Ovis aries: one gene and its partners. The protein of the gene in region 2 purifies or fractionates together with the protein of the main gene of each other region. This does not show direct contact. Links are inferred from orthologs where the notes say so. Each region holds a gene or a part of one and is shown on either strand. Other genes may lie near its edges. The genes, in order: FBXO33, CUL1, FBXO21, DCUN1D3, VCP, CRY1 and FBXO42.

Region 1 (4,755 bases), on a different chromosome or scaffold from region 2:
AAGGCAGGTATCCTAGCCTCCTCTGGAGAAGTGAACTGTGAGAGGCATTTCTGTACCTCTTTGATACTCAGCAGTTGTCCCAAACATCTAAGAAATTGGTAAGGTGGCTACAATCACTGAGAGTACATGTGCATATCCAGGAATTAAGCAAAACAAAATGCCAATTATTATCTCAGAACAGTACCCTTGAAAAGTTCCCACAATTCAAGGTTATGGTTTTAGTTCTTTAACTCAGAGACAAGAAAATAACTGAAACACAGCAAAATAAAAGTTTGAATTGTATGAAGTTCAACATAAAGGAGGAAGCATAAAGTTTGTGACTTGGTAAGTTCACATCCTCTTCTTCTACCTAAAAAATGGTAGAAATCATAAGGCAAAAGCATTGTAACATTTACCTTGGAAATGGAAAGAACAATGTCAAATATTGATTTTTCTCATTAATTATTGAATTTTATGGTTTTAGAAAATCAAAGAACACTAAACACTAAAGCATTTGAGTCATTCTTCATTGAGCCTGAGTTTGATGTTTAAGTGATTATGAAGGAAACAAGAATAGGCTTTATCAGAGTTATCAAATAAACATCTTGGTTTAAAACATTTTCAAATTTCTCTGAAGAAAATTAGTTTCACTTAAATTTTTAACATCCTTATTAGTACTTCCCATATTAGTAGAGTATCTCAAAATATTTTCAAAAATAAAGCTGAGACTTTCTTTCCAAATATATAAAGATTATTTAGAGAGCAGTCTTATAGACAAGTAGATTGAGATGCTAAAGAAGAGGTAGGTTCACTTTTATTTGTTTACTTTACCTCAACACACACAGCTAAAAAAATAAAAATTGATAGGGGTGAGGAAGGGAGCCGGAAAAAAATTAAACAACAAAGGGAAGATGTGATATATTACTATTTTGCCTTTACCTGTCCAACCAACCAATCAGTTAAAAGGAACTAGATAAAAACTTTGTAAAGTGGGTTCTTACTTGGACAAAAGACATGCATTTTTAAATGACTGCTCAGAACTGCTATCTAATCTCAAGAAAAATCTAACTGATACTGGCAAATTACTTGACCCTGTTAGTTTCAGTTTCCTTTCTATAAAGAAGCCACCCCACTTCTACCCTCCATTGAATCATCAGTAGTAAGTGCTCACTACTGACTCTAATCTCTGGGTCAGCTGGGCCTCCAGCCACACATCCAACTCTGACAGAAAGTCTCCAACATGATCAAGACCAACTTATGGCCTTAAACGGCCTCTTTTGCCACATAAAAGCAAAGTGAGGAAATAAAATGGCTTGGTGTGAAAAGCTAGGAAAATACACAGCATACTGGGATGATGCAGCCATGCTCCAGATACAACTTGCAGCTAATGCTTATTTTCCACCCTTGTGATTCAGAGAATTAGGAATACAGATATATCCATCTCACTTAGCATAACCAGGACCTTCACTCCATCCTGTTCAACGAAATGTATTTACAGCAAAACGAAGTACACTGCTGTCAGAGAAAAACAATGCTGTATGAAATAATGTGCAAATTATCTGACCCTGTTATGTTTCAGTTTCCTTTCTATAAAGCAGGGATAATAGCAGCTGTCCTAACTCACAGGTTCGGCTGAAAGGATCAAATAAGATCCTGAATGTGAAACTACTTGCAAACTGCTAAACTATTACTGCTACCTAAGTTGTTCCTTTTTTGAACTTATGAACTTTCCTCTACCTCACAGTTTAATTTTAAGCTTAGTTAGAATGTCCAGATAGAGAAAATCTACCTTAATAGGATCCTGGAGAGGGCGATAGATAAATAATGGAAAAGACTGATGAGGACGACGGGCCAGAACACAGGAAGTTAGACCCAGATTTACAGCAAAGTCTTGATGCAAAATCAGGACAGTTTGGGCTTACTCTTTGCAGACACTGGCCAGTTCCCCCAACACACGCAAACACCAAGCTGTACGGTGCTACTTTTAGGTGAATCACTGGGGACAAGTTGAGTCTGGAGGTGCAAAAGGGAGGGACCTTCTAATCCTGATGATCCGGCAGTACCCTGATCCCTTAAAAAAAAAAAAAAAATTCCTCCTACTCTTTGTGCCTGGCCTAGTTAAAACCATTCCCGGTAAGAAAATGGCTGTCAAAGATTTCTTTTTTTGCTGGGAGAGTCTCGAACCCATGCGAAACCTGTGGCATACCTACTCCCTCCGCCACCACGAACTATTTTGATCGGATAGGTTCAGAATAAAACAATAACAACAAAAACACAAATTAGTTTTGTTTCTCCCCAGACTCATTCTCAGGCCTCACCCTCCAAGCTTCAGCTCTCATCTGTAAAATGAATGACCGCGCCTGTCAACTCCATCCCACTGCTGCCGTTCAAGGATGAATGAGACAGTGCCTGGAAGGCGCCAGGAGTGCTGTCTGATAAACACCAAGCCCATCACTGTTTATAAAGTATTAGGATGAGTCCTGTTATGTCCTCCCGCCTCAAGGAAATCTCCGGATTAGAACTGACACCCCTAGTCACTGAAAAAAGCAACGCTGAAGCGGGCGGGGCGTTTCCACACTGAATCTATTTCGAGGTGAGAGGAAGGAGACGACCCTGAGCCTCGGGAAGTGGAGGCGGGGGTGGGGGTGGGGAGGAGGAGGAATGGAGGGGTTGCGAAGAGCCTACCTGTTGTTCCGGATGCTGACTAGCACGCACAGGACCAGCTCTAAGTAGGTGCGCAGCACTTCCAGCCAACGGGTTGAGAGCTGCAGGGCTTCGACTTCTTCCCCGCCAGTCCCGGCGTCCGCGCTGCCTCCATCGCCCGGGCCGCCGCCGCCGCTCAGGTAGTTCTCCGCGGCGAATTCAACACGCAGCTCTCGCACGAACCAGCCGCACTTGCGCATGAGGAATTCGAGCCGTGGCTGCTCCGCGGGCGAGACGCGGAGGCAGATGCGGAGCTGGGGCCAGAGAGCCGGATAGAAGAGGCACTCGCGCCAGTGCGAGCAGGAGGCCGAGGCCCGGAGCCGGTCAGACGCGGACAGGAAGGAGAAGATGTGCACGATCAGCTCGCTAGGCAGCGACGCGGCGCCTGCCGCCTGCCCGCACAGAGCCATTCGGCCCCGCCGCCGGCTGCCGGTCCCCGGCCGCCCCCGCAGTCCCCGGAGCAGCCCCCGCAGCCGTCGCAGCTGCTGCAGCCGCAGCCGCCGCCACCGCGCCACCCGGGCGGCCCCGGCTCGGGTTCGGGCTCCCGGTGGTCGGGGCTGCGGCACTGACAAGAACAACAACATCAATGACAAGGAAGAAGGGGGCGGAACCGTCGTGGGTCTCGGCGGAACCAAGTGCGGCACAAGTTGCGGAGAGGGGGAAAGGCCTATGCGGGGGTGGCCTCCAGATAGCCAGCCTCTGGCCTGTCAAACTTTACTCACGCGCGTCCGAGGCCTGCGCCCTCCTCAACTTAAAAACCCTCCCTTGTACTGGTTATGAGCCCGGAAGCGGCAGGATTTATTTTAAGGAACCGGGAGCCCTCCCCGCGCCTGGAGGCGGAGGCACAGCAGTGGTAGGAGCTGAGTTTGACGTCACCGGCGGTGGGAGGAGACTGGGCGTGACTGGGCGCGACTTCCGGAAGGGAGCGCCGGCTTGCCGGTAGGAAAGGGAGACGAGGCACGTGATTCCTGACGCACGTAGGCCGGTGGGGCGGGGCGGGAAGCGCTGGTGATCCCGGCAGATGGGCGCCCTCTCCCGTCTCTCAGAGACCACTCAGTCCAGTCAAGTCTGCAAATCGGTTAACTTGGGGGCTCTGGCGGTCGAAGTGGCGTTAACTCGCGTTGGTGCGAGAGGTCGCGACGCTTTTCATTATACGCTTCTGTGTTTCTGGGCTGAGGGCTCAGAGCCAGAGTGCTGGCTTGTGTCCTTCCTAGCCGTCCCGCCTGCCCCGAGTGTTGCGGAGAGTTTCTGAGAGAGAGCCCCTGAGGAGGGGAGCGGGCGCTTTCGCGGGCTCACACGGAGGGGCTGGGTAGGGAGAGGAGCCGCGCGGGCCGGGGCGGCGGAGAGGCCGGACCGAAGTCGTCAGTGGACACCGCCACCCCTCGGTCGGACCTCGAAGTGGACCTGCGCGCTCACCTGGTGTGTGGGGAAGGAATGAGGACAGCGCCACCCTTTGGATTTAGAGAGAGAGGAGAAAACAAGGCAAATGAGTTAGATCTGCTAGTCGATAATCGGCGTCTTCTCTGGGCTTCGAGGGAGGCTCCGCGTTCGCTGTTTTGAAGCCCTAGGTGTAAAGAAGCTGGTTGTTATGGTGAAGGTTTTCTTTAGCTTGGCTGCCCTCGCTTGAGAGAGGGATTTTCGAAAGAGTGTCCGTTAACTTCACCACATCTTGGAAAGTAGTAAACTGGTTGTACAGGGTAGTGAAGTCAGAAGGGAATAGGTAATTTTATGTAACAATTGAAGATTGCATTAGTGAGGCTGCCGCTTCAGAGCCTTAACTATGATCTTGAAACAGCCTAGTTTTCTTGTAATTAACTTCACGAAACTGTTCTACAAAATGTTTTTAGCTCTTTGAGGGCAAAATTCTCCATTCGTGATGCTTTGATGCCTTTTGGTGTCTTGTTGCCTGTGATACTGAGTTGTTACCTCTGAGTTATGTGTTTTACTTTTGGTAGCAGTAAAAACAAATAAAAACCAACAACAAAAAAATGCTTTCCTTCGTGGTAGAGCACGTCTCTGAACCTCTTGTCTGCAAGATATTTTTCTATGTAATTCTTATAATGATTTTATGAA
Region 2 (3,955 bases):
CGTTGGAAGAAACAAACAGCAAAGGGAAAGTTGACCCACTCAGCTCACGTGTTAGCTGTGGGGAGTCACAGACAGGACGACCATATTGGATGATGAAATGGCAGAGGACAGGTTAGACAAACGGGAGATGAGCTAACCTGTCCTCTGAGGAAAGCTCGCAGCAGTGAGGGTCTCAGAGAAACCATATGTGTGCAGCCTCCCATATATGTGTACATATATATGTACAAGCCTTCCATTTTTACCTTCAATTCTCCCATGTGCCCATGAGAAAGTTAAATACATCTAAGCTTCTTTTGAATATTTAGAAGTATAGGATATTTGTTGCTGTTCTGCCGCTCAGTCCTGTCCAGCTCTTTGCAGCGGCATGGACTGCAGCACGCCAGGCTTCTCCGTCCTTCACCATCTCCCGGAGTCTGCTCCAACTCATGTCCATTGAGGATATAAAGCACGAATTTAAAAATCCTTAAATAGGCTGAGATCACATACTCTGGTGACAGGTACAGACAAATGCCATACTTTTAAAGATAAAGAGTTGTTGACAGAAGGCCACATTTCAATAGGAGGAACCGCATATACAAGTATGTCTTAAGATATTTCTTCTAAGAGACATCCATATTCCTCAGGAAACAGTGAGGGCTGTGGGAGTAGCCCTAGGCTCTGGGCCTAGCATTTCCACCCCAAGGTGATACTCAATGTTTTAGTTTTGGAGCAAAACAGGAAGTTACAGTCATCAAGTCTTTGGCCCAGATAACCTGAAATCTTTCCATGCTGAACTGTTCATGGACCATGGGATTAGAGAAGAAGCCCCTTCAAGTCCAAGCTTTCTCACCTGTGTCCCCACAGGAAGCCAGGTGGCCATTTGCGCTGCCCAAATTTGTATTTCAGGTAACCACTTGTGAGTTAATTTCAGATGAATGAGACGAACGACTCCGCAGCACTGGTGAAAACAGTCCTATTCAATAGTCATACCTCACTCATCCCATCCATATATGTAAGATCTTCAATTTCATTCTTCACTTAATCTTTACAGAGATTAATGGTAAAGTGTCTTTGTCGACCTCTGTTCAAAAAAGAGTGGGTTAGAGAGTTTGAAGAGGTAAGCTAATTTGGTTTGATCTCCGAACCAATTTTAGAGAGAGAGAGAGACAGAGAGACGCCGAGGAGCTGGGACTTTGAGGTGCCGATCCACGAGGCCGCAGGTGTCCTGGGGTTCAGAGAATGGACGGCACGTTTCTCTGGAGTCTGCTGCGCCTGCCTTTCAGGGCCACTCGCCCATCTCTGACTTTTATCAGCCGGTCGGGGTATGGCTTTTGGTTATCCTCCCGCCGGGAAGGTAGATCCAGCGGGTGTAGTTGTGATCCGTGTCGGTTCAGTGTGTGTGCGCGCAGGAGCGGGGGAGGGCGGCGTGTAAGACCCTCTGCTCCGGGGTGTTTCGGGCCGGTTTCTCCTCAGGCTGGGGCCCCGACCTAGGAAGGTGACCACCCCCGCCCCCTCCTCGTTCGGCCCAAAGTGGCGGGAAGCCGGGTCCTCAGAGGCGGCCCCCAAGGCCAGGGAGGCAGTAAAACCTGGAGGAGGATCCGGTGCGCCCGTCCGGGGAGGGTGCGGCGTCCATGGCCAGGGGCCCGCGGGGGCTTTCAGGTAGAGAGCAGCCCCGCGAGCGGGGCCTCGGCGGCGCGGGGCGGCGGGCGGGGTGGGGAGAACTCGGGGCCGCGGCACGGCGGGCGGGGGCTTTCGGGCCCCTCCCGCTCCGCGGGGCTGGTGGGGAGATGGCGGCGACGGTTTCCCGGCTCCCCCGCCCCGGACGCCGATGGCGGAGCGTTCCGGCCCTCCCCCCCCAGCTTCTCCACCGCGGGAGCCGGAGCCGGTGAGGCCGGGAGGGCGGGGAGCGGCGAAGGGAAGGAGAGAGGGCGGAGGTTGCGTGGTGCAGGCGGCGGCGGCGGGAGGAGGGCCGGCGGGCGGGCCGGGAGGAGGAGGAGGAGGAGGAGGCGGGAGCCGTGTCGCACGCAGCTCCAGGCGGGGCAGCCCCGGCGGCTGAGGGACGCGGCGAGACCTTGGCGGGACGGGGATTTAACCGGGGCCGGGCCCAGCGACCAGGTGGAGACGTCGCCGGAGCCATTTAGGCAGCCGGGAAATGCGGGTGAGTTGTCGGCGGCGCCGGGGCTGAGGGGAGGCGGCGGCGGCGGCGCAGGCCCGACCCGGAGCCGCGGTGTCGCAGTGACTGGGGCCGCGGCGGCCGAGCTCAGGCGCCGGGCGAGAGGCCCGAGGCGCCGAGCCGCGACCGGGCGGAATGGCGGCGGGGGCCGGGGCACTCGTGGGCAGAGGGCGCCGGGGGCGGGAGGGGAGCGCGCGCGCGCGCGCGCGGGGTCCGGCCCTGAGTCACCCCGGCCGGCTCGGGCCTGGCGGGCCGCGGCCCCGGACGCGGGCTCGGGGCGGCCCAGGCCCGGACTACGCACTGGGGAAAAAAAAAAAAAAAGGCCCGATTCATCGCGCCCGAGGCGGCGGCCTGGTGGCGTCCGCCCCTTTCCCAGCGCGACCCGCCTCGGGCCGCGGAGCCGGGCTGGCGAGCGGCCCCCGGGGCAGTCGGGCGCGCGCGCCTCACCTCTCTCCAGGCGGCGACCACCACCCCACCTCAACCAAGGGGTGCCCGAGCCCGCGCCCTCTTTCCCTCGGCCCCCCTGGGGACCCACCGCTCCCCCGAGCGTCGCTTGCCCCCGACTCGTGCTCTCAAGTAAAGTACTGGGCTTGCGCGCCGGAGGAGCCGCGGAGCCGGGCTCTCTCTGCTTTCCGGTTCCCTGCCCCGCGGCTCCCGGGTTTCCCCGCCCGCATTGTTGCGACTGTGCAGGGCGCTATTATTGGGTAACAGTCGCCCCTTTGCCCGGTTCTCCTCGGGGAGCGGGCCCGGGGCGGCGCGCAGGGATGCGAGTGCGGCGGCCGAAGCGGACGGAGCGCCCCCCCCGCCCCCCTCCGCGGCGGCCGCCGAGCGCCCGCGAGTCGGGCCGGGCCTGCGCCGCCGCCTCGGCGCGCCCCCGGCCCTGCACCCGGCGGGAGCGCGCGCTGACCCCGCAGGTAACCCGGGCGCCGGCCGGCCGCGTGCAGGGGTCGCCCCGCGCGCCCTTCTGGCCCCCCGTGTGCTGTATGCCTAGTGCTGGTGGTTCCGGGCAGAAACGCATGGTGAACGTTCCTTGAGCCTAATCCTCCAAAGTTGAGGGTTTTCTCCCTTTAGCGAGCTCTCTGCCAAAAATAGGATCCTCTTTTCGGATTGGATCACTGTCGTTGCTCACAGTTCGCAGCTGGAGTTAGTGGTGAGGGTGCAAATGAGGAATTGCAGTTAAGTGTTTATTTGCTCTGTGTAATTGCTCTTCGCGCAGTGGCATTAAAACAGTCCAAGTTAGTGGAGTCAGGGGTCACGTAGTTTTGGAAATGCACTCATCGGAGTGACAGAAGGGACTGAAATTCACTTTTACTTGAACCCCCAGCTTCTAGACCTCAGCATAGCTTTAGCAGTCTGCAAAAGCATGGCCAGGTGTAAGTTTAACGCTTCATTTTGTGGCCACCCTGTTTTACCTGGTTTTCTGAAATCCTGCAGCGTTTATGGATTGTGTAGAAAAAATAGGGGGCATTGTTTAAGAAGCAGAATTTAAAAAAAAAATTTTTTTTTTAATCTAAAAAATTTGGACCTAACGTTCTCTTGATCTAAAAGGGTCCTTGGGTATTGAGAAAATTTTTACTTAAAAGTCTGTTGCTTTCCCTGGTAAGTCGAAATAGTTGCAACGCATTTCAAATTCTGAGGCATGCATACAGCATGCAGGAGACTGGCTTGCTTTAACTCTATTATGCCCATTTTTGGAGGTTTGTAGAGAGAGTGCTCTTTAAGCTCTAGAGGGTTGGCTGAAATACTCTAAAAATATTCAACTTTTTTTTTGTCATTGGAATCATCTTTTAAAAACTTAACAAA
Region 3 (4,135 bases), on a different chromosome or scaffold from region 2:
CCTCTCTCTGACATCAGTCTCAAGGACATCCAGGCTCAGATTGACAGCATCGTGGAGCTTGTTTGCAAAACCCTCCGGGGCATAAACAGTCGCCACCCCAGCTTGGCCTTCAAGGCAGGTGTGGAATTGCTTTGGATCCAGCTGTATTTATAAAAGAAAAACCTAGAGTGATTGGTTAATTTGGGAAATTCTGCAGTGCGTTCCCATTATGTCCCCTCAAAGCGATAGATAACACAACCACCGGTTCACCCGAATGATGTCAGAGGCTTCAAACACATAGTCTCTTTTCCACCCAGCATTGGCAACACCTGATGAGCCTTCCTAGGACGTGGCCAGTGTCTGCACGTCGGGTTGTTGGGGACACTCCTCACAGCGTTATTTGTGCTTGTGTCCTCAGAGTAGGTCTCTGTGTTTCAGGCGAGTCCTCCATGATCATGGAAATAGAGCTCCAGAGTCAGGTGCTGGATGCCATGAACCATGTCCTGTATGACCAGCTGAAGTTCAAGGGGAACCGAATGGATTACTACAACGCCTTGAACTTGTATATGCACCAGGTAAACATGGGGGTGAGAGGAAATACTGTTATAATATATGTAGGTGGAGCTTACCTCTGATGAACTGTACAGTGTTTGAGGGCAAGGACTAGATTTTGTTGGTCTGCCAATGCCTGGTGAGACTCATTTTTTGCCTTTCCTATAAGGATATTGCTGTGGATTTTATCTGATTCATCACAGTGCCCCCTCTTGTCTGAAAACCCTCGAAGTAAATTCCTGGCTAGAAATAGGTACGCCTCTGACTCAGTGTGGTCAGATCGCTTCTTGTGAACAGTAAACAGTGAAACTAAGCAGGTCTCCCTTCTTGCACTGGCCTGCAGGGAGACTGGAGGAAATGAGTGACCGACTGCGTCATTGATGCTTATTTTTTGTTTGCTTTCTACCTCTCTGTTTTTATATCTGTTCTGTTGCTCTCTCTCAGACCTGTATTTTCTTTTGTCATATCTTACACACTTTTCTTTGAAATACCCTTAAGTTCTTCCTAGACAAAGGAGGGCCTAACCATAGGTCTATAGACTTTTGCCGTGAAGGCCAGACGGTGACTTCTCTCGACCTGGCTCCTCAGGCCAAATGCTGTCTGTCCTAACCGCTCAGTTCTGCCCTAGTCATGTGAAGCAAAATGCAAACCATCCAGAAACAGAGGAGTGTGGCTGTGTCCCCGTAGAACTTTGTGTGTGGACGTGGACACGTGAATTTCACAGTTTTCACATTTTATGAAATAGTGTTTGGTCAACTTCTTGTAAACATTAAAAAAATGCTAAAATTTTTCTTAAGCAGGCAATCCAAAAACAGCTTATCGATCTGATGTGGACTGTAGCCCGCAGAGCCCTGACCTAAATAAATAAAATACTCACCCATTTAAGTCTGCAAACCTATCCTCGCACCTGCTGCACAGTGGGCGCCGACTGGGAAGGTGTGTGGAAGAGGTGAGAAGGTGTGGTTTTCTGTGTGAAGCTAAAGCCTGCTTTCTTCTCTAGGTGTTAATCCGCAGAACAGGAATCCCCATCAGCATGTCTCTGCTCTACCTGACAATTGCCCGGCAGTTGGGGGTCCCACTGGAGCCTGTCAACTTCCCCAGCCACTTCTTACTAAGGTGGTGCCAAGGTGCAGAAGGGTAAGCCGTCTCTGACCTCGCGTGATTGCCCTCTGCTGAGAGAAGTGTAGCAGCGGAAGTTGTCAAGGGGACCAGGGTGGTGAGAGCTGGTTTGCTCTTGATTGTATCCAGGTCCATACTCTGTTCCGGGGAGAAGGGCAGTGTGCATTCTTCTGCCTTGTTTCTCCCAAGGGGAGTGTGACTCTCCAGTTATCTCAAAGAAAACAGTTTACTTTTGAAGGACTAACAGTTCAGGATCTTGTATGAATCTCAGTCTCTCTGTTCCAAAGCAAATCAGCGACAAAGAATTCTTTTTTTTTAAGGTTTTTTTTTTTAATTTTTTTAATTTTAAAATATTTAATTCTTACATGCGTTCCCAAACATGAACCCCCCTCCCATCTCCCTCCCCATAACATCTCTCTGGGTCATCCCCATGCACCAGCCCCAAGCATGCTGTATCCTGCGTCAGACATAGACTGGCGATTCGATTCTTACATGATAGTATACATGTTAGAATGCCATTCTCCCAAATCATCCCACCCTCTCCCTCTCCCTCTGAGTCCAAAAGTCCGTTATACACATCTGTGTCTTTTTGCTGTCTTGCATACAGGGTTGTCATTGCCATCTTCCTAAATTCCATATATATGTGCCAGTACTGACAAAGAATTCTTAAGCTATTTCTTCCCAGTCTTCCATAAAACCTCCCACAGAAGGGAGGTGGGGGTGGGGTGGGGGACTCAGAGGGAACTGGGCTGGGGAGAGGGAACTGGGCTGCCAGGTTCTTAATTTGCAAAAGCCAATAGGCATGTTCTCAGCAGGGGAGCTCCTTCAGGCAAGGTTAGTGCCTGCTTTGCAGACCAGGTTAAAGAGTTTTGTTTTGTTCTCTTTTTTTTTAAACCTGGTATCCTGTTGGACGTAAAGCTCCTTTACAGCAGTAGTCTAGCTTTTTTGAAAGCAGTTCATCAAATGGGTAGAGATGCCCTCTCTTTAAAAGTGCCCTTTAGAGGGAAAAGAAACAAAGTTATTTGATTACATCCTGTTATTTGAGACTACTTCCTGATGACTGGCCCTGGTACCCTTCGCTGAAGTGATGAGCAGAATGAAAGAAAGTAGCTGAGCTTTGAAGTTCAACTGGGTTCAGACCTCAGCTTCCTCTGGGCTTAAGTTTCTTCCTCTGTAAAACGGGGCCGATGTTTTTCATACAGTGGTTTGGAGGGTTCAGTGAGAGAACCCAAACGCTTTACACATGTGGTGGAATTCTGTTGCTGGTCTGTGTTTCCACCTCTGGGTTTGGGAAATAAAACACCTCCTTGGTATTCTTCTCCATTCTTTTCTCCCTTTTCTCCTTTCTAGAGTTTAGTTTGAAAGTATTTATTTCCATGCATATTTTTGTATTCTATGACATGTGTGTTTCCTTAAATAGGAAGTACAGGCTTCCCTTATTTCCCAAATATAATCTGTTTCTTCAGATGTATTGGATAGTTTCTCTGTGGGAGAGTAGGCACCCATTTTCCATTATTTTAAATGAAAAAAAATGCTTTTTCAGCCCATTCCCTCTCCCTGAGTAACTCAACAACTTCCCCAAATATCTAAAACGTCCTTAAATATTTATATTATTTAATGGTCCACCAAGGACTTCTGCATGATACAGAGCATTTAAAACACCAACTACCATGTTATTGACCGCAGTAACCCATTGCTGGGCACGTTTGTGTGTGCCAACAGGATCGTGTGTCCTTGTTTAGGCTCCAGTGAGTGTACACCACATTGCAGACGAACAGTGAAGGGGTTTGTTAGCACCGCAGACACCTGGCAGATGCTGAGACCCGTGAAGGTGTGGCCCGTGGGGGCGCGCGCGCCTGCGGGGCCCTCGGCCTCCATGTCTGCACCGAGACCATAGTGCTTGCTGACTGTGACCGTATCGTGAGTCTTAAAGACTAGGCGGCTGAGAGCCGCGTGGAGTCCTTCAAAATCACCCTGGCTCCTCTAAGCCTGAAGCCCACGCGCAGCTTTAGAGTCTGTGGTCAGGCCCTTGAAGCTCTAGTGTGGCAGCTGGCCCCAGAGCTTCTCTGGACTCACGGATTCACGTGAGGAGCATGGTGTATGTGTCCCTGCTCCGTCTGTCTGTCTGTGAGCACAAATGCTTCCACGTTGCAGTCATCTTTAATGTCCTTCAAAGGATTTTACTCTTTTCTATAGCCAGCTCTTTCACATCTTATTAGTTATTCCTGGGTACCTTTACTTTTTTTTTGCTATTGAAAATGGTCATTGTTTAAATGACACTTTTTATGTATTGGTGGTGTACAGGGGTATGGCTGATACTTAAATCTGGGTTGATTGTTGGCCCCTCTGCTGAATCAATTATTAGTGATAATAATTTGTTAGGGTTTTCAGCCTTTCTGTGTAGATAATCATATTTTCTGAATCATGACATTTTGTTTCTTCTTTTTTTTCCCCCCAGCTGTTATATGTTTGTGTCTCTTTCACT
Region 4 (4,857 bases), on a different chromosome or scaffold from region 2:
TCAGTCGTGTCCGACTATACAATCCATGGAATTCTCCAGGCCAAAATACTGGAGTGGGTAGCTGTTCCCTTCTCCAGACAATACTCTAATAAGAGTATCCTTAAAATAGTATGTGGCAAGACTCTGGGAAAAACAACAGAATTAAAAGGAACATCATTTTCTATATCCTTCTCCTTCTTGCTCTTATTTTGTCTACCTATTGGAGAAGGAAATGGCAACCCACTCCAGTGTTCTTGCCTGGAGAATCCCAGGGACGGGGGAGTCTGGTCGGCTGCTGTCTATGGGGTCACACCAAGTCGGACACAACTGAAGCGACTTAGCATAGCATAGCATTCTGAGCTCAGCCTCCATCTCTCTGACCTAGACTCTTTTCACTCTTCTCTTTGATCACGAGGCTCTAGCTATTACTCCTACCCCTAATCCTCCCTGACCTCCTCTTCATCATCCCTTTCTTCCCACTCCTTGGAACTTGCCATACTCCAGCCCAGTTTCTGCACTAGCTAGTCCCTAAACCTGGAAGGTTCCTCCTGTATTTTTGCAAGGCTGGCTCCTTTTTATTTAAAGCTCAACTTCAGTGCTGCCTTCTCAGAAAGGTCTAGACTGTATCTCAGTCAGACACTTCCTATCACAGCACTCACAATTACAGATAAGAGCTGATTTTCTTCAGCTCTTATCAAAATCCAATTTGCTTATGTATCTGTCCCCACCCCACTCCAATGTATGCTCCATGAGAGCATGGACCTTACTGCTATATTCCTCTGTGTATGTCCACTGCCTAATATACTGGCTAGCAACCAGTAGCCCTGTCAATAAATGTTTGCTGAATGAATGAAGTTTGGACTTTTTACTCAATGATTCCAAATCAGTTAAGGTGAGAACAGTAGTCATTTTTTTCTTTTGTTGCATTTCTGTGAAACATCCAAACATGCTGTTACTTGTACAATGAAAGCATTAAATATTGTTTTATCAGGCCTGAAAGCCCTGATGAGTAGGATGGAACCCGTTATGATAATTCTAGCAATATGCACATAAACTCAGTTACAGAGGGACAGGATTTACAGACACTTTCTAATCATCAAAGGATCCCTAAAATTTGGGAACCACCTCTTCAAGTTCTTTAGAAAACAGTTCCAGACTCAAAAGGACTTCCAAAGAAAATATCAACACCAAAGTAGAAATCATTACACTTCACTCTGAAATCCGTACTACAGGCTAAAGAAGCACTACTTTTTTCCCCCCTTAAACCAACAAAACATCAACAAAGAGATCTTCTTTTCAAATCATTCTTTGCCAAATAATTTTTTCACATCTGTTACTGGTTTGTATTCTTCCCTGAAAGAAAACTAAGCAAATCATGCTGTCTCATGTAAGACCACCTATACACAAAGAATAAGCTAAATAAATAATATGGAAATCTGCACAAGCCAAATGTGTCACTGAAGACTTGTGTGCCAGACACACAAAAGAAAAAATAAGAGAGCTATTGTCCAACTGTAGAAACAAAAGAGTAATACGGAGTTTTCTGTTCTCCAAAGTGCATCATGAAGTGTGGGTGGAGAGAAACAAGCAATCTAGAATTAGCCTAACATCAAATCATTTTGGAAAGAGTTGACAACATTTAAATTCCTCACACATAAAGTATTTAGAGCAAGAGACCTTGATTCCTGGGCTATGATGCCATTTAGGAATCTTTGCAAGGGCTTTGGAATTCCAGTATTCAGAGGATAAAACGCTCGTTTAATCGGAAGCAACCACGGATTGAGAGGTACTCCCAAAGACAGCTTGTAACTGAAGTATTACAAAGCTTGCAGTTAAGACCTGGGATGGAGGCGGAACACCAAATTCAAAAGAGGTAACTAAGATACCAAGCAATAAAGAAAAAAAAAAAACACCACAATTACCACCTAGTCACGGAGAATTAAAGTGGAAAGGAGGGCTATGCACGGGAGAAGATGGTGGGGGGTGGGGGGGGGGGAAATGGGAAAAAAAAAAAAACAATACATTTGTCACTCTGTCCCACTTCCTATACAGGATAGGGGCAAAGCTTCCAGCCCCATCACCTCAGGCACAGATGGTTATCGTATACAGCAAAGGTGCATAGGAAGGACTTCAGGTCTGAGCCCCTTAATTCCAGGGCTGTTAATGATTAAAGAGGAAGATGGGGGTGGGGAGGTAGATGAGGGCGGAGGGAGCTGGAGATTCACCCACCACCTCTCGTTTGGGCTCCTACCTCACGGCGCTTACAAGGCGCAGAGAACCAGAGTCTGTACCCCCTCCAGGGCAGCTCCGGCCACCAGAGCCCCAGGCCCTGGGTTGAGGGGTGCTGGCGGTGAGGAGGCAGGGACAGTAGGTAAGTTTTCTGAGCCCTGCGGCTGACACGCCACAGGCTCCCCTCACAGCCTCTCCTTCCAGCGGGACCAGTCCAGACAAGAAGCTGATTTCCACGCCTCCCCTTCCACCCCCCCTCCCTTTCTCGAAGGTACCCAGCCCCCGCCCCTTCATCTCCCAAAGCCTCCCCTTTTCCTCAAACCCCCCCTCAAACTCACAGCTGCTCCAGAGGTTCCTCCAGTCAAACCCTTTCTGGAAACGACGGCGGCCCGGCGGGTCCAAAACACCTACCATCCCCGCTCGCGTTTCCAGGTTCCCTACCCGCTCCACTGCCGCCGCCGCCGCCTCTTCTCCCACCACTGCCGCCGCCTCCCCTTCATCTGCCGCCCACCAGCGGCGGCCGCCCCGAAGCCCCGCCCCCTCCATCGCCTCCTGCATCATCACTTCCGGTAACCCCGCAGGCCGCCCGCTTCGGCAGGCGGAATAGGAAAGGAGAGAGGAGGGAACGAGTGGCAGTTTGCGTCATGACGTACGCAAAGACGTACGAAGCTGTCGCCAAGTAAGGGCAAAGACTTAGCAACGCGGAGGGAGGGCTAGGAAGAGATGGAGTGGACCATTTTTTTCGCTGGAATGGGGTGGCGAGAGGAGAACGGAAAGTGGAAAAGAAAATTAAAGAAAGGATTAGTTTGGCTATCTTGTTGGGTATACGGCGGAGCGTGATCTAGAGTTTGAAGTTTAACGAAAGGTCGAGCCTACCCTCGACTTGGGACTAATGCTCCCACAGAAGTCCGTCCGGTGGTTCGGTCCGGTCTGGCCTACCAGACCTGCTAGAGAGCTCAGTCCGCCGCCGCTCAGCTGCGCTCCCGGCGCCGCCTCCTCCCAGCCTGCCGGAGGCTGCGGGGCTTCTGTGGGTGGGGGAAGGCTGGACTGACGCAGAGTGAGTGTTGAGGATGGAGACGCCGACTCCTGGCGCGGGAAACGGGGAAGGGGTGGACTCCTCAGGGGCAGGGATGGGGTGGGGGTGGGGGGTACGACGTTGCTAGGAGACGAGCCAGTGTGACCCCAGCCTCGCGAGGGCTGCTTGGTGTCACCGCCGCTCGCCTCAGGAACCTGCTAAAGGAAGCGGCTTGAGGGCCAGGAAGGGGAGGCCTGGTTTGGGAACGCTGAAATGCCGATTTGGGGCGCATCTCTGAGTCCTTTGGATTCCCCCAATGTATTGATGAATGGGAGATTAATAGGGGCAAATCCGGAGGCGAGGCGTCTAGCCGAGGAAGGTTGACAAACGAGTACCCTGCACGATACTGAGATTTTCTAAGATAATGAGAACTAGCTTCTTAAATCCCTTGGTCCACGAAAGACGTTGCTACGTGAATTTTTCGAGTCCGGGAGTAACTTAAAAAGTAAATCAATAAGGTAGATATCAGCAAGTAAATGCCCCAAAGGAAGTAATATCAGGGGAAGTGGTAGAAAATAAGGGGAACATGAAAGTCGCTCAGTCGTGTCCGACTCTTTCGGACCCCAACCCAGGGATCGAACCCAGGTCTACCTCATTGCGGGCAGATTCTTTACCAGCTGAGCCACAAGGGAAGTGCAGAAGATGAGGGGAGGACCACTCTAAATCGGATAGGGCTGTTCAGAGGAGGCCGGGTTTGCAAAAATCCCAGAAAAGAGGGAAGCTAGGGAATGAGCTTTATAGATGGAGAAAAGAAGCAACGGGAAGGTATCTACAGAAGGAAAAGGCGAGAAAGTCAGATGCTTGGACCAGAAAGGGAAGAACAAGAGCCAGAGTGGTCTGTGATGGAGAAGTGGCATGGCCTGATCAAGCATAGCTTAGCCCAGGGCGAGAGCTTAACTGTTGGGCTACTGGAGGGTTTAAGAAGGAGTGACAAATCTCATTTACAGTTTTAGAAAATCATTCTTAGCTCCTGGATAGAGAAGGGTACAAGTGGTCAGACCTGTTTGGCAGGTGTTGCAGTAGGCCAAGGGAGAGGTGACAGTGAACTGGAAGAATTAAATTCAGAATATATTCTGAAACTAGAACTTGCAGGACTTGTTGGCAAATTGAATATGAAGTGTATGTGAAAGAATGGAACCAAAGATGACTCCTCAGAGAAAATAGTTTGGAAGGCACTCTATTCTTTTAAACATACTAGTTTTGATAAGTTTGTTAACTGTCCAGGTAAAGACGTTGAGAAGTTAAATGTGAAAATCAAGGGAAAACTCGAGAGATAATAAATGTAGCGATTTATTCCTAAATTACCTAAGAAGAGTGCAGATAGAGAGGAAGTCCTCTGTGGGAAGCCCTATTTTTCTTTGTTAATCAAGGAATAAAAAGTAAATTTAAGAATGCTGGTGAAGTTTTGAAATTGGGCAATTTTGGCTTAGCTATTGTGCTGTTAAATGTTTATGTGTTAAAACATATTCTTGGCGGAGTGGGAGAGAGGAAGGCCACTAAACTCCTTGGGGCTCTTTACATTAAGAGATGATCCAGAGAAGGAAAAGCCAGCAGAGGAGACTGTACATATAAAG
Region 5 (3,137 bases), on a different chromosome or scaffold from region 2:
TCCAACACTGTGCCATGCTACAGTGGGAAACAAGTGAGATAACAAAAATCCCTATCTTTATTGAGCCTATATATACATACATATCAAATTCTGCATTTAATTCAGGGGGTCCATGGAACACCAAGAAAAGGTCCATAGATCCTAGCTTCTCAGCCCTGCTCTATTTGTTTCTATGCTCATTTCTTCTCAGCCTTTGTAATTCCCAATTGACATGGTTATCTGAGTACTCAGCATTTTCTCTTCCATGGCATGCTAAACATCTGATAGATGACCTTTCCAAAACTGTACACTCTAGGGCACTGTGGAGATTGTCCCCTGGCTCCCTAAGACAGGCACATCTGGGTTAAGGATGCAGACTCACCATTGCTGATGGGTTGGTCTGCCGCTCCCGTTCTCGCCTGATTTCACTCTCAATCGATTCACGAATGGCCAACTTGCAAGCACGTTGGCAAATCTCGGTCAAATCAGCTCCAGAGAAGCCATTAGTCATTTTAGCCAGGAACTCTAAATCCACATCCTAAAAGAAGCAAGAGAGCTACCTTAGCTTTTAGCCTCTTTTGATACACTGATCTTTGAGCCACCAAAGCACTCCCAATTCCACTTTGTTCCATCCTCTGCCACCAGTTTTATTCCTTATTCTAGATATCTTAATACCCTCAAATCTTCCATCTTTCCTTTTCAACCATAACCCCAGAAATCCCCAATGGAACCTTGTCCAGGAACCAAGGAGCATTCCACACAGCCTGCAAATTCACGACCCTGCAACCCAAGACCTTGCACCTGCCTTGGCAACTGGGGACTTGCGCAGGTTGGCCTTGAGAATGGCAACACGGGACTTCTCGTCGGGAAGTGGGATATAGATGAGCTGATCAAGGCGGCCAGGTCGCAGGATGGCAGGATCAATGATGTCAGGTCGGTTGGTAGCGCCAATGATAAATACATTTTTCTTTGTGGACATGCCATCCATTTCTGTCAGGATCTGGTTGATGACTCGGTCAGCAGCCCCACCACCATCTCCAATGTTGCCACCACGGGCCTTGGCAATCGAATCCAGCTCATCAAAGAACAGTACACAGGGGGCAGCTTGGCGTGCCTGTGAGAGACAGATGGACTTGAGCATTAGCACAACTGGGTCTCTCAGACCTGAGGAAAAATGGAAAATAAAGTGACCTTCACTGCCCTAACTGAGCTGTCAGAATGGGATGGTCTTAACTCTCCCAAAGAACAACCTCTACCCCTAACTTGTTCCCAAGCAAGTGAACTGATAGCCCAGCCACTTGTAGCTCACCTTGTCGAAGATTTCCCTCACGTTGGCCTCAGACTCCCCAAACCACATGGTGAGCAGCTCAGGACCCTTGATGGAGATGAAGTTGGCCTGGCACTCATTAGCAATGGCTTTGGCCAGCAAGGTTTTCCCACAGCCAGGAGGTCCATAGAACAGTACTCCCTTGGAGGGTGTCATGCCAAACTTGAGGAATTTGTCTGGGTGCTCCACAGGATACTAGGAAGAAAAAGAAAGAGGATTCAGGGCTATCTCCCCCAGTTTGAGAGAAACCCAACCTAACAGAAGCATCCTCCCACACCATCTCATGGTGTAAGGTGACAGGATTCTTGGTGCTTCCAACCTCAGAACAGCAGGTTCCTGAATCATGCTCATAATTTCTGCAATCAATGTGTCAACACCCCAATACCACCAGCTCAATGACAATGTGCTGAAGCAGTGACCCACCCTGGACCAAGCACCCTACCTGGACCAGCTCCTGAAGCTCACGTTTGACATCCTCCAAGCCCCCAATGTCCTCCCAGGTCACCTGAGGCACCTCTACCACAGTTTCCCGCAGTGCTGATGGGTTGCTCTGGCTCAGGGCCCACTAAAAAGGGAAGAAAAATTGGGGATGAGAATTGCCAGGCAAGAGATCAAAGTGCATGTGTGTGCACCTGAAATGGAGAGCGGCCCTTACTCGGAAGTCGTCCATAGTAACTGCCAGGGAGTTCATGACCTCAGCATCAATGGTCTCATCTTCTAGGTCAATGAGGTCCATCTTCTTGCGGATGGCTTGCAGAGCAGCCTCAGAGCACAGGGCTGCTAAGTCAGCTCCCACGTGCCCATGAGTCTCATTAGCTACCTGCAGAGAGAAGATCCACTTACTCTCCTGCCTCTGAGACCTAGCTTAGATGTCTCTATTCTGGCTTAGATAACAGAACCCTGCCCTCTTCCTCTGACTCCTATCTCTGGGTCCTCCATTTCCCTAAACTCATACCAGCAGCCCTTTCATTAGCTGGACTCTTAAGTATTCAAGCCTGCACTTGGGGCCTGGAAATAAAGCTGCCCCCAATATTCTGGTTCACCCTAATTCAGTAAACCAAGAAAAATGCCAAACCTAGTTTCCTGGATTCAATCTCAGATCACTTCCCTTTCCCTGCCCAGGAATTAAAATCAATCGCCTCACATCTGAAGCTTCTGTCCCTAGTCAGTTCCCTTCAACTGTCTGGCAACAAGACATCCGAACTTCTGGCCAGCCCTCATCAACATGCCACCTGTTCAAGGTCCACATCATCTGCCAGCTTCATGTTCTTGGTGTGGATCTGAAGAATTTCCAAGCGTCCGGTAGCGTCAGGGATTCCAATATCCACCTCTCTGTCAAAGCGACCTGTGAGATGACGCATAGACAGGGATCATTTCTGGTGCATAGGGAAGAAGGGCCCAGGCCTAAGGCATCCAACCATTCCACTGTGACCAGGAAATGTCTGGTGTTAGCACTGAAAGCCCCATAACTTGGGAAATCCCTCAGTCTCAGGCAAACCAGGATGCGTGGTTACCCTGGACATGACATGGAATAAGGGAAAGAAAGGACTTTACTCTTTGCCTAACTGCAAAGGGCTTCATGAAATCCTCAAAAAAAAAAAAAAGAAAGAAAGAAAAGAAAGAAATCCTCAGGATTAGGTGACTTAGATGAAGGACAGATATGGGATCAACAGGATTAAGCCCACTGGAGACATAATCTCCACATGAGCAAAGACAGCAAGAAGAGTTATTTGGGGTCCTTACCAAATCGCCGTAGGGCTGGGTCAATGCTGTTGGGTCTGTTGGTTGCTGCCATAACAATGACATGTGCTCTTTGCTTTAGGCCATCCAT
Region 6 (4,933 bases), on a different chromosome or scaffold from region 2:
GCTAAAACTGTAGGCATTTAAGTAGATACTATTTACCTAGGACTTTCAATTTAAGAGCAAACAGCAAATAAGCACTTCCTAGTATGACTTAGTAGTAGCAGTAGTAGCACCACTCACATTTTAAGCATTTCACATCTTTTAACTAATTTAATTCTCCTAACAATATTATGAAGAGAGACTTATTACTATATTATTGTTAAGATATGAATAGATTAGAATATATAACATGCATTATCTTTTTCCAGAATCAATGACACCAATTCTGCTAATGAAAATGTTTTATATACAGTTGCTGTATTATTCTCATGAGCACACAAATATCCTGTAATTTCTCTCATCTTTAAAAAAAAAAAAATCTTCTCTTGAGTTCACCTTCTTCTACACCATTTCTCTGATTCCCCCCCAATGGAAAACTTAAAAGAGCTATCTATGTGAGTTATCCCCACCTTCTCTCCTCTCAGCCTCTCTCAAGCCAGTCCAAAAAGGCTTTTGCCCCTGACACTACTGAAACCACTTTAATCAAGATTATGATCTCAAAATGCTAAATATGATTCTTAATTTTCAGTCCTCATCTCACACGACGAGCAACCTGACAAAGGTCAAACATTTTCTTTGAGCCACTGTCCTTTTTTCCTTGGCTTCTATGACACCATTATCTTCAGGTTTTCTTAGCTTACCAGATGTTCTTTCTCAAACTCCTATGCTACTTCTTCCACACGTCCACAATTTAAATACATTCAAGTACCCAGGCTCAGTTCTTTTCTATCTGTATAAATTCACATAATGTTTTCATATAGTCTCACAGCTCTACTAGAATGTATCTTCAACACTGCAGAGATATTTTAGCTATTCTGTTTAATGTCCTGCACCTAAAAGTGTCTAGCACATAGTAGATCCATACAATATATTTGGTCAATATATGAATGGATTAATAGTTTTAAATGTTATCTATAAAGTGATGAATCTCTAATTTATACCTCCTGCCAGGATCTCTAACCTTAACTCTAGACATATCTATCTGCTATCTCCACTTGGATGCATAATAAACATCTCATACTAACCAAGTTCAAAAGAAAACTCAAAGCACCCTCTCAATGGCTTCTTCAACTGACCACTTAGTAAAGATCAGTTCCACCCTTCTAGATTCTCAAATCAAATTTTGAAATTATTCCTAATTCCTTTTCTCTCACACCACATCTGTCAATAAATACTGTGAATTCTGCCTTCAAAATACACTCAGCACTTGACTTCTTCTCCCTATGTCCACCACAATCACTATGGTCCAAGTTATTATCATATCTCACCTGGATTAATGCAATTGACTCCTAACCTGTCTTATTGCTTCTTGTCCACCTCCACCCCACAATTTGGGTCTGTTCTCAGAACCACGGCCAGAGAAGTTTAAAAAAAAAAAAAACACACCTTCAGTCAAATCACATCACTTTTCTGCTCATAATCTTAGAATTATTCCTATTTTCATCTAAGTAAAGGCCCAAATCTTGACAACTGCCTATAAAGCTCTACTCAGTCTGGCCCTATTACATCTCTGACCTCATACACTACTATTCCTCTCACTCTGTTCCAGTCACATTGGCTTCTTCTGCTGTTCCTTCCAAAGGTTAAGCATATTCCACCTCAGGCCCTTTTTCTTAGTTCTTTCTCCCTGGAATGCTTTTCCCTAGATATCTGTAATCTACTTGTTTCATCATCTTGCTCAACTGTCCCTTTCTCTGAGTTTTTCCCTATCACCATATTTTAAACTCCCAATTCCAATCCCACTCCCTTGTACACATAAAAGCTGTATTTCCGCACATCATTTATCATCTACTACATTACTACATACTTTCTGGGACATGTGCTAGAAAAGGACAAGAATTTCTATTTGTTTCATTCACTACTGTATCCCTGGTGTTTAAAGCTGTGGCTGTAAGTGATTGTGAGTGAAATCGCTCAGTCGTGTCAGACTCTTTGAGACCCCAAAGACTATACAGTCCATGGATTTCTCCGGGCCATTATACTGGAGTGCGTAGCCTTTCCCCTTGCCAGGGGATCTTCCCAATCCAGGGATAGAACCCAGGTCTCCCGCTTTGCAGGGGGATTTTTTTTTTACCAGCTGAGCCACAAGGGAAGCCCTGGTATACAGCAGGTGATCAATACTCTGCTGAAAGAATGCTTTCATTTCCACCACGGGGCCTAATAATCATCTGGCCTGGCATGTCAGGAAAAGATCATAAAGCTTCTCTAAGATTTCTTCCAGTGCTCTAAATCCTGGAAGGATTATACTTTGCCTAGAAAGAAAAACTGTGCTTTGTCTATTCAACCACAAGGAGGAGTTGAGAGGAAGAACTGAGCAAAGAAATGTCCCTTGCTTTTCCTCTGGCAACCTCAAGGTGGAAGAAAACTAGATTTGGAGGGGACTCTACTGAATGAATGATTTTCTCCATACTATGAGTTAACACACAAACGTAAACACTAAAGACCGCAACCCCAAATGCCACAGAGGCCAAGGAAATCAACACACGGGCCATTGAGAACTGGAAGGGTGTTTCTTTAACTCCACCACTAAGAATTCTCCATAAATCCAGGGGAAGAATTCCTACGAGCGCAGAGACACGTAACTCACACCTGAAGGCCAAGGTGTTTCAGGCTGCCGGAACTCTCTCGCCTCAAGGCTATTAAGTCCGTTCTATTTAATACTTAAAGCACCTGCAATAATTCAAACAGTACGGGCAAGGCGGTGCAAGATTTCAATTCTCAGGTCTGGCTGATGGCATGTAAAGTCTTGATTCATTAAACAGCGAAATCAATTTCCCACAGGATTTTGACTCACCGCCACCTGTTGATCCCCACGTTGGAGGAGCCGGCGAACCAGGGGTCGAGGATGTAGACGCAGCGGATGGTGTCGGCGCCCTGGATGCACTCCTTCAGGGCGGGGTTGTCGTGAAGCCGGAGCCCCTTTCGGAACCAGTGCACGGCGTTCACCCCCATCCCGGGGGCTGGGGGCGGGGGGGGGGGCGTGCCGCGGTGCGGCGCCGCCGAGCTCCTCCGCCGAGAAATTCAGGGTGGGAGGGTCCGGCTCATAACCGACAACTCCGAACGCAGGAGAATCGCCGCACCCAAGGAGTGAGGAAAGCAGAGGAGGGGAAGGAAAAGATGAGTCCGAGGAAGGGACTGAAGAGGGAGAGGGCGCTGGCGGCGCAGCTGGAAGATGAATGGAGGTTGCCCAGTCAGCGGAGTCCCGGTGTGACGCCCTTTAGGGGCCGGCACCCGCCGCCACAGACTGGAAAAGACGCATAACTTCGAGGTCCCCGGACCTCTGGAGGCTGACCAAGTTCCACAAGCCCGAGACTCCACCACGGCCCGCGCGGGCGCGGGCAGCCCCAAGAGGTTCTCTGCACGGAAACCTCGCCCACCGAGGCGGCCCCCGAGGAGCAGACGGCCCCGCCTGAGGCGAGCCACCGACAAGGATGAGAGAGAATTCAGTCACTGTCGGCCACGCTGCCTCTCGGCCCGGGTAAGAGAAGTGAGGACAGAGCACGCAAGGCGGTGGTCGAGGCCGCTGGACCGCTGCCGGCCGGTGACCCGTCCCGAGGCTGCCCGGGTGACTCCGCCGCCACCGCCGCGTCAGCGGCTTCAGCCCCGCCTTCGGCTCCTCATTGGAGGGCGCACTCCTCACGTGACCACCGGCACCTCACGTTTCTGAAGTGTGTTTACTACAGCGGCTCCGACTGGGGTATCAGCTTGCACTTCAGTCGCTTCTAGGAGGCGGCAGCTGCTCCATGTCAAATCCATCGGTCCTCTCCCAGACGCTAGACACTTTGCCTCTGTCCCTTTTCTCGGCCAACAAATCGCGGTTGCCTGAAAGCGCCCAGAGTGAGCCGAGGCCCCATGTGAGGGAAAATTTAGCCCCGCCCTCGGGGGCTGTGAACGTCCACCATTGGCTGAGACTCGCTGAGACCCGGATGAGCACGGGGCTGCGGGGAGCTAGAGAGCTCGCGCTCTGCCCGTGAGGGCGCGCGTGCGCTCTCGCTGCGTTTCGGAGTCAAGGAGGGCGGGGCCGGCGATCCGGAGCCCGCTAGGGGATTCCTCCCGCGGAGTTCGCGGAAGGCGTGGAGACATCGCGGTGTCTTCCAGGAGTCGGAACGAGGATCCGGCGGGGAATGAGTGAGGGCAGGATGGAGTGGAAAGAGCAGAGTAGGAGGCTCCACATCGACTTAGAGCCCAAAACATGTGTTTCCATCCAGCTTTAGCTGGAGAACCCAACCCTACTTTGGAGTGTATAGAGCTGGCTCCCTTCTCATTCTTGTGCCCCTAGCGTTACTGGATCCTTGTATGAGCTCTGGGGAAGAGGATTAATTCGGAGGGTGGTGCCAGGCATCCCTGGAACTCCTTAATAGTATCTCTGTGTTGTCAACATGTCAGCCTTCCTTTCTTACACCTAGTGCGGTTTACAGGGCTCTTTGCGATGGGACTTTGCCTACCCCTCTAAGGACAATGAACTTCAGGCCTTGCTGTTCCTTGATTTAGTCACTAAGTCGTGTCCAACTTTTGCGACCCCATGGACTGTAGCCTGCCAGGCTCCTCTGTACATGGGATTCTCCAGACAAGGAGTGGGTTGCCGTTTCCTTCTCCAGGGGATCTTTCCCACGCAGGAATCGAACCTGGGTCTTTTGCATTGCAGGCAGGTTATTTAGGGACTGAACTACAAGGGAATCGCTGTTCCTTAGGCATGCAATAACTTTAAGTTCATTCAACAATCACTTATTGAATGAAACTGGCACTATTTAAAGTACTGGAGGTACACAGAGAGAGGAAGAGAAAAGCCCTCTTGAAGTTCACGATGTGTCTCCTAACCTTTATATGTGCTGTTTTTCGCTCTGTAAATGCTGTTTAGAATCTGCCGCTCACTACAACACCTTTGAGCTAGGGAATA
Region 7 (4,135 bases), on a different chromosome or scaffold from region 2:
GGAAAACCCAGCGGAAAAGCAGAGCATAAAATTGCACCACAGAGCCTACAGTACTGTTAGGCTCACGCTCTTCCCTACTCTGGCTGTAAAATTAATATGAATCCTCATTTATATTCCCTTCATTAAAAACGTCAGACAAAACACAATCCTCAAAAATAGTTTTTGCAAACATGACCGCCGGCAAGACGGGACCTGCTTTCAGGATAAATACTTACTGTGTGAGAACCGCTGGGTGATGGGGGTCCCGGGATAAGGGTATGTCCGACTCTCCCACTGGATGTTTCCTTCCTGAACAGCCTTTATGAAACCATGGTAACACTGGTGAGCTACACCTAAAGACAAAAATAACCAATGCCTCAGCCTGGACTCTTCACTTATAAACCAAACTATTAAAACTGAATCTATTGTCTTATCACTTTTTTAAGATGTAAGTTTCTTTGCGGAACTCCAAATTTCTTTGATTTTCTTTCATTCAAAGACAGAAAACAAAATCACATAAGCTCAAAACTGGAAGATCTAATCTTTAGATTTTACCAAGGTTAAATGACTCCCTCAAGGTGACAAAATCAGCTCACACTTTAACTCTGCTCCACTTATGCCACATCATAAGGAAACATATCAAAATAATTGGTGCTACTTACTCCAAAACAAAGAGACTTGGGAGATAATTTAGTTTTGTGAGAAAAAATACAGTAAAACAATCTCTGAAATATAACAGCTGTTTAGTAAATACCTATGGTTAGACCACGGATTCTCTGTAAAACAAGGAGATAATAACTAGCTGACAGTGGATTACGAAATGATGAATTTATAACTGAGGAAAGCTGTTTAAAAAAAAAAATCAGAGTTTTTACTATAATGCTGGATACATGTCATTATATACATGTCCAAAGTCACAGGATGTACCCCCTAAGGTAAACTGCAGATTTTGAGTGACAATGATACATCAGTGTTATCAATGCAGGATCATCAATCGTAAAACGTACCACTCTGGTGAGGATGCTGAAAGCGGGAGAGGCTGTGCGCGTCTCGGGGCAGAGGGTATACGGGAAATCTATGACCCGCGCAATTTTGCCGTGAACCCAAAAACCACTTAAAAAAAAATAAAGTCCATTTTTTTAAAAAGTGAGAGCTTCATACTTCTGGAACAATCTGTTTTTCCAACACATGAAATTACTATCTTATTTCAAAGAGAAGCGTTTTGAATGAAGTGTACAATCAATTATTTACACTTTGAGAGAATGTCATTCTCGAATTTATGCCACCTTGTGGATCCTTAAGTAGGATCACAGAACATGTTTTCCGGTGATGACCATTCTCCCTTGGCTGAACTCACAACAGATAAGAACTGGAATATTAAAAAGACATGACCATTTTCAATGGGTGACCATACTGCCGACTATACACTGGTGAAGTAACACAAATTTTCAAGTCCTGGATTGAGGTGAGGCCGTAGTGAATAAAAGACAGAGACATAATGATCGAGGGGAGAAAACCCTGTGCTGGCAGTGACTCCCCCAGAAGATCCAAGACTGAACACTACGTCAAGGTTCTTTTCTCTTGAAAAAGAAAAGAGAAACGATAAGAATGCCAAGAATAAATAAGCATCTTTGATTAGATCGCCACCCCCATGTATGACTCTTCCTCCTCTATTTTCGAGGTGACACCATCCACCTCCGTAGTGCAGGGAGCCAGCCTCTCCTGCAGAGTCCACTAGCTCTGCAGCAGAAGCAGGCTGCGCACGCCGACGCCACCAGGTGTGAGCAGATGCGCGCAGGCCTGGGGCAGCTTCCGCACAGCCGGAGGGCCCGGGGCAGCTTCAACTCAGCCGGCCCTTATTAGCCGTTGAGGCTGCACTCCAGACAACTGATAAAGACCCTACTCCTCAGAGAACCTCTCTGGTTCTAGGAAAGATTTTAAGACTGATGCTGATCTAAACCTTTTCCCTCTCTCTTCTCTCTGGCTGCCTTGCTCACATCAGCAAAGAAAAAGTCAATACAACCCTTGCTTTGATCAAAGACTATTCAACTGGCTTGGCCATCTTCATTAAAAAAAAAAAAAAGGCCCTTTCTACCTAAAACAAAAATGACTGTTATTAATTCAAAATACAGGGGACTGCACTGATGGTTCAGTGGTTAAGACCACTCTCCAGCACAGGGGTGCAGGTCTGATCCCTGGCCAGGGAGCGAAAGACCCCACATGCCTCACGGTCAAAAAACCAAAAACAGAAGCAATATTGTAACAGATTCAATGAAGACTTTAAAAATGGTCCACACAAAAAAATTTTTGAAAAAATATATATAATTAGTAACTTCAACATTTAGTTAAAGCTGAAATCTTGATTAGAAAATGGAGGGGGAAAAAGGGAGAAATACATTTTAAAAAGTAAAATACACACATAGGACCTGGGCTGTTTAGACATAAAATCAAGCATCAAATGCTTTCATAACTCCACACCTACCATAAACAGCTACTTTAAGCTATTCACAGGTTGCTAGGTCAACTGCAAAGCGGTCACGACAGTCTTGGCAATGTGAGAGTTGTATGGAGGTTAGCTCTTACCGTCAATCCACGCTCATCCCTACTCTGCCTATTCCAGAATAATGCAGTTTACCGGATCAACTCCAGGAATATGCAGGAAAGAATCCTCATTTTAAAACTTCAAGCTGGATTAAAAACTACAGCATTCAAGTTGTTCATAAAACTAGGCAGGATAAAGAGAAAGGAAAATGTACAGGGCGAACTGTCTACCGCTGTTTCAGAACCACGGTGAACGGAAGGGAGGAAACAATGGAACAGAGATTAAAAATCATTCAAAGAAATCTTAAATGGGTAAATAAACCTGTGCCCTTTCCAAAGTACCTTTAATCAGTCGATACCACTGCTTGCAGACGAGGGCTGCAGTTTTGTGCTCCTGGTATGGGGAGAGGAAGGACAGGATATACTCCAAAACCTCTTCTGGCAGCTCAGACATGGACCTGTTATGCCGAGTCTCCTCGGCCTCCAGCGCCGCGCGGAGCTCCGCATCTTGCTCCATGGCCCCTTCCAGCACGCTCTCCTCTTGGTCCACAGCCATGAAGCTGTCGTCTTCGCTGTCCGAGGAGCTGGCCATGACATCCCACGTGACAGCTGCAGCGGGAGAGAAGCACACGCCAGGGCACACTTTCTCAAGTTCTGAACTAGCTCAGCGCTTGCAGCCATGCTGGGCACGACCTCTTTCAGATGCTCAGAATGAAACCTGTCCTTTAGCACTTCCCCACACTAGCCGCGAGCGACCTTAATTTGTCAGGCACACCTCAAATGCCAAGCCCATCCCAAATATCTAAGAAATCTCTAGAGGCTTCTGATAGTGCTTTTTTCCCTCTTCACTGAAAACCTAGAGTGTCAGCCAAGTTCCGGTACAACCATAAAACCAAAAGACTTGTTCTCAACAACTCCTCTAACTCAAGGGCACGGTCCGCAATAGCAAAGGGCGCAGCAGCTAGTTCCCTTAGCCCGAAATATGATTCAGGACCCAAACTTAGGAGAAGAAACTAACGGTGCACCCTAGGAGAGTAAAGGAACACTGAGGATGTGCGGATAAGAAATGATAGGGTGTTTCTTTTAGCTTTGATACAAGACAGTTCACTTAAGAGGATAATAAATGTTCTAATAACAAGCTTAACTAGTGTAATACCAAATACAAGGCAATATTTAAAATAGGAAACATCGAAACAGATCTGAGGAGCTAAAAACTGAAAACACTCTAAATACCCATCAACAAGAGAACAGATAGACCGTGCTACGTTCATACGAGAGAGCCCTGTTGGGGAAGGAGCCACAGACACTCGGGGGCGAATCCTGACGCGGAGCGAGAGGCAGGATAGCACATACTACATGTCCAACCTGAACATGAGGCAAAAGCCACTGACGTACAATATCTTAAAAACTGGAAAGAGTGACCGCAGCAAGAAGAACACGAGTCAAAACTCACGAAGTTGCTCCTGACACAATGCATCTGCCAAATTAGCTACGATACTGCAACGCGTCCTAACCGAGTGGCTGCTGGCGAACCGATGGTGATGGACAACTGGGGGCTACTGAGAAGCAGGGGAGCGGCCTAAATGCTCACGGTCGGGAGAGGGGAGCGGTGGCA

What was found.
Region 1: the proteins of CUL1 (region 2) and FBXO33 purify together in Homo sapiens (affinity purification with mass spectrometry; 4 studies listed by BioGRID and IntAct, with this or other methods). This does not show direct contact. The link is inferred for Ovis aries from reciprocal best matches to the Homo sapiens genes CUL1 and FBXO33.
Region 3: the proteins of CUL1 (region 2) and FBXO21 purify together in Homo sapiens (affinity purification with mass spectrometry; 6 studies listed by BioGRID and IntAct, with this or other methods). This does not show direct contact. The link is inferred for Ovis aries from reciprocal best matches to the Homo sapiens genes CUL1 and FBXO21.
Region 4: the proteins of CUL1 (region 2) and DCUN1D3 purify together in Homo sapiens (affinity purification with western blotting; 4 studies listed by BioGRID and IntAct, with this or other methods). This does not show direct contact. The link is inferred for Ovis aries from reciprocal best matches to the Homo sapiens genes CUL1 and DCUN1D3.
Region 5: the proteins of CUL1 (region 2) and VCP purify together in Homo sapiens (affinity purification with western blotting; 4 studies listed by BioGRID and IntAct, with this or other methods). This does not show direct contact. The link is inferred for Ovis aries from reciprocal best matches to the Homo sapiens genes CUL1 and VCP.
Region 6: the proteins of CUL1 (region 2) and CRY1 purify together in Homo sapiens (affinity purification with mass spectrometry; 4 studies listed by BioGRID and IntAct, counting the BioPlex papers as one, with this or other methods). This does not show direct contact. The link is inferred for Ovis aries from reciprocal best matches to the Homo sapiens genes CUL1 and CRY1.
Region 7: the proteins of CUL1 (region 2) and FBXO42 purify together in Homo sapiens (affinity purification with mass spectrometry; 9 studies listed by BioGRID and IntAct, counting the BioPlex papers as one, with this or other methods). This does not show direct contact. The link is inferred for Ovis aries from reciprocal best matches to the Homo sapiens genes CUL1 and FBXO42.

What each region holds. Positions count from the first base shown.
Region 1 is NC_056071.1:47,043,116-47,047,870, forward strand, and holds the start of FBXO33 (F-box only protein 33), read right to left. Parts: upstream 3,271-4,755; 5' UTR 3,267-3,270; coding exon 2,665-3,266; intron 1-2,664. UniProt on the Homo sapiens protein: Substrate recognition component of a SCF (SKP1-CUL1-F-box protein) E3 ubiquitin-protein ligase complex which mediates the ubiquitination and subsequent proteasomal degradation of target proteins. Probably recognizes and binds to phosphorylated target proteins.
Region 2 is NC_056057.1:113,064,576-113,068,530, forward strand, and holds the start of CUL1 (cullin-1), read left to right. Parts: upstream 1-1,155; 5' UTR 1,156-1,301; intron 1,302-1,557; exon of another isoform or gene 1,558-1,864; intron 1,865-2,011; exon of another isoform or gene 2,012-2,137; intron 2,138-3,955. UniProt on the Homo sapiens protein: Core component of multiple cullin-RING-based SCF (SKP1-CUL1-F-box protein) E3 ubiquitin-protein ligase complexes, which mediate the ubiquitination of proteins involved in cell cycle progression, signal transduction and transcription.
Region 3 is NC_056070.1:57,941,720-57,945,854, forward strand, and holds part of FBXO21 (F-box only protein 21), read left to right. Parts: coding exon 1-118; intron 119-417; coding exon 418-554; intron 555-1,531; coding exon 1,532-1,668; intron 1,669-4,135. UniProt on the Homo sapiens protein: Substrate-recognition component of the SCF (SKP1-CUL1-F-box protein)-type E3 ubiquitin ligase complex.
Region 4 is NC_056077.1:19,175,078-19,179,934, forward strand, and holds the start of DCUN1D3 (DCN1-like protein 3), read right to left. Parts: upstream 3,107-4,857; 5' UTR 3,085-3,106; intron 2,744-3,084; exon of another isoform or gene 2,210-2,743; intron 1-2,209. UniProt on the Homo sapiens protein: Contributes to the neddylation of all cullins by transferring NEDD8 from N-terminally acetylated NEDD8-conjugating E2s enzyme to different cullin C-terminal domain-RBX complexes and may play a role in the cell cycle progression by regulating the SCF ubiquitin E3 ligase complex, after UV damage.
Region 5 is NC_056055.1:53,408,951-53,412,087, reverse strand, and holds part of VCP (transitional endoplasmic reticulum ATPase), read right to left. Parts: coding exon 3,050-3,137; intron 2,652-3,049; coding exon 2,539-2,651; intron 2,127-2,538; coding exon 1,962-2,126; intron 1,872-1,961; coding exon 1,749-1,871; intron 1,502-1,748; coding exon 1,289-1,501; intron 1,094-1,288; coding exon 785-1,093; intron 518-784; coding exon 362-517; intron 1-361. UniProt on the Homo sapiens protein: Necessary for the fragmentation of Golgi stacks during mitosis and for their reassembly after mitosis. Involved in the formation of the transitional endoplasmic reticulum (tER).
Region 6 is NC_056056.1:175,964,066-175,968,998, forward strand, and holds the start of CRY1 (cryptochrome-1), read right to left. Parts: upstream 2,989-4,933; coding exon 2,831-2,988; intron 1-2,830.
Region 7 is NC_056055.1:249,502,754-249,506,888, reverse strand, and holds part of FBXO42 (F-box only protein 42), read right to left. Parts: intron 3,130-4,135; 5' UTR 3,113-3,129; coding exon 2,863-3,112; intron 333-2,862; coding exon 216-332; intron 1-215. UniProt on the Homo sapiens protein: Substrate-recognition component of some SCF (SKP1-CUL1-F-box protein)-type E3 ubiquitin ligase complex. Specifically recognizes p53/TP53, promoting its ubiquitination and degradation.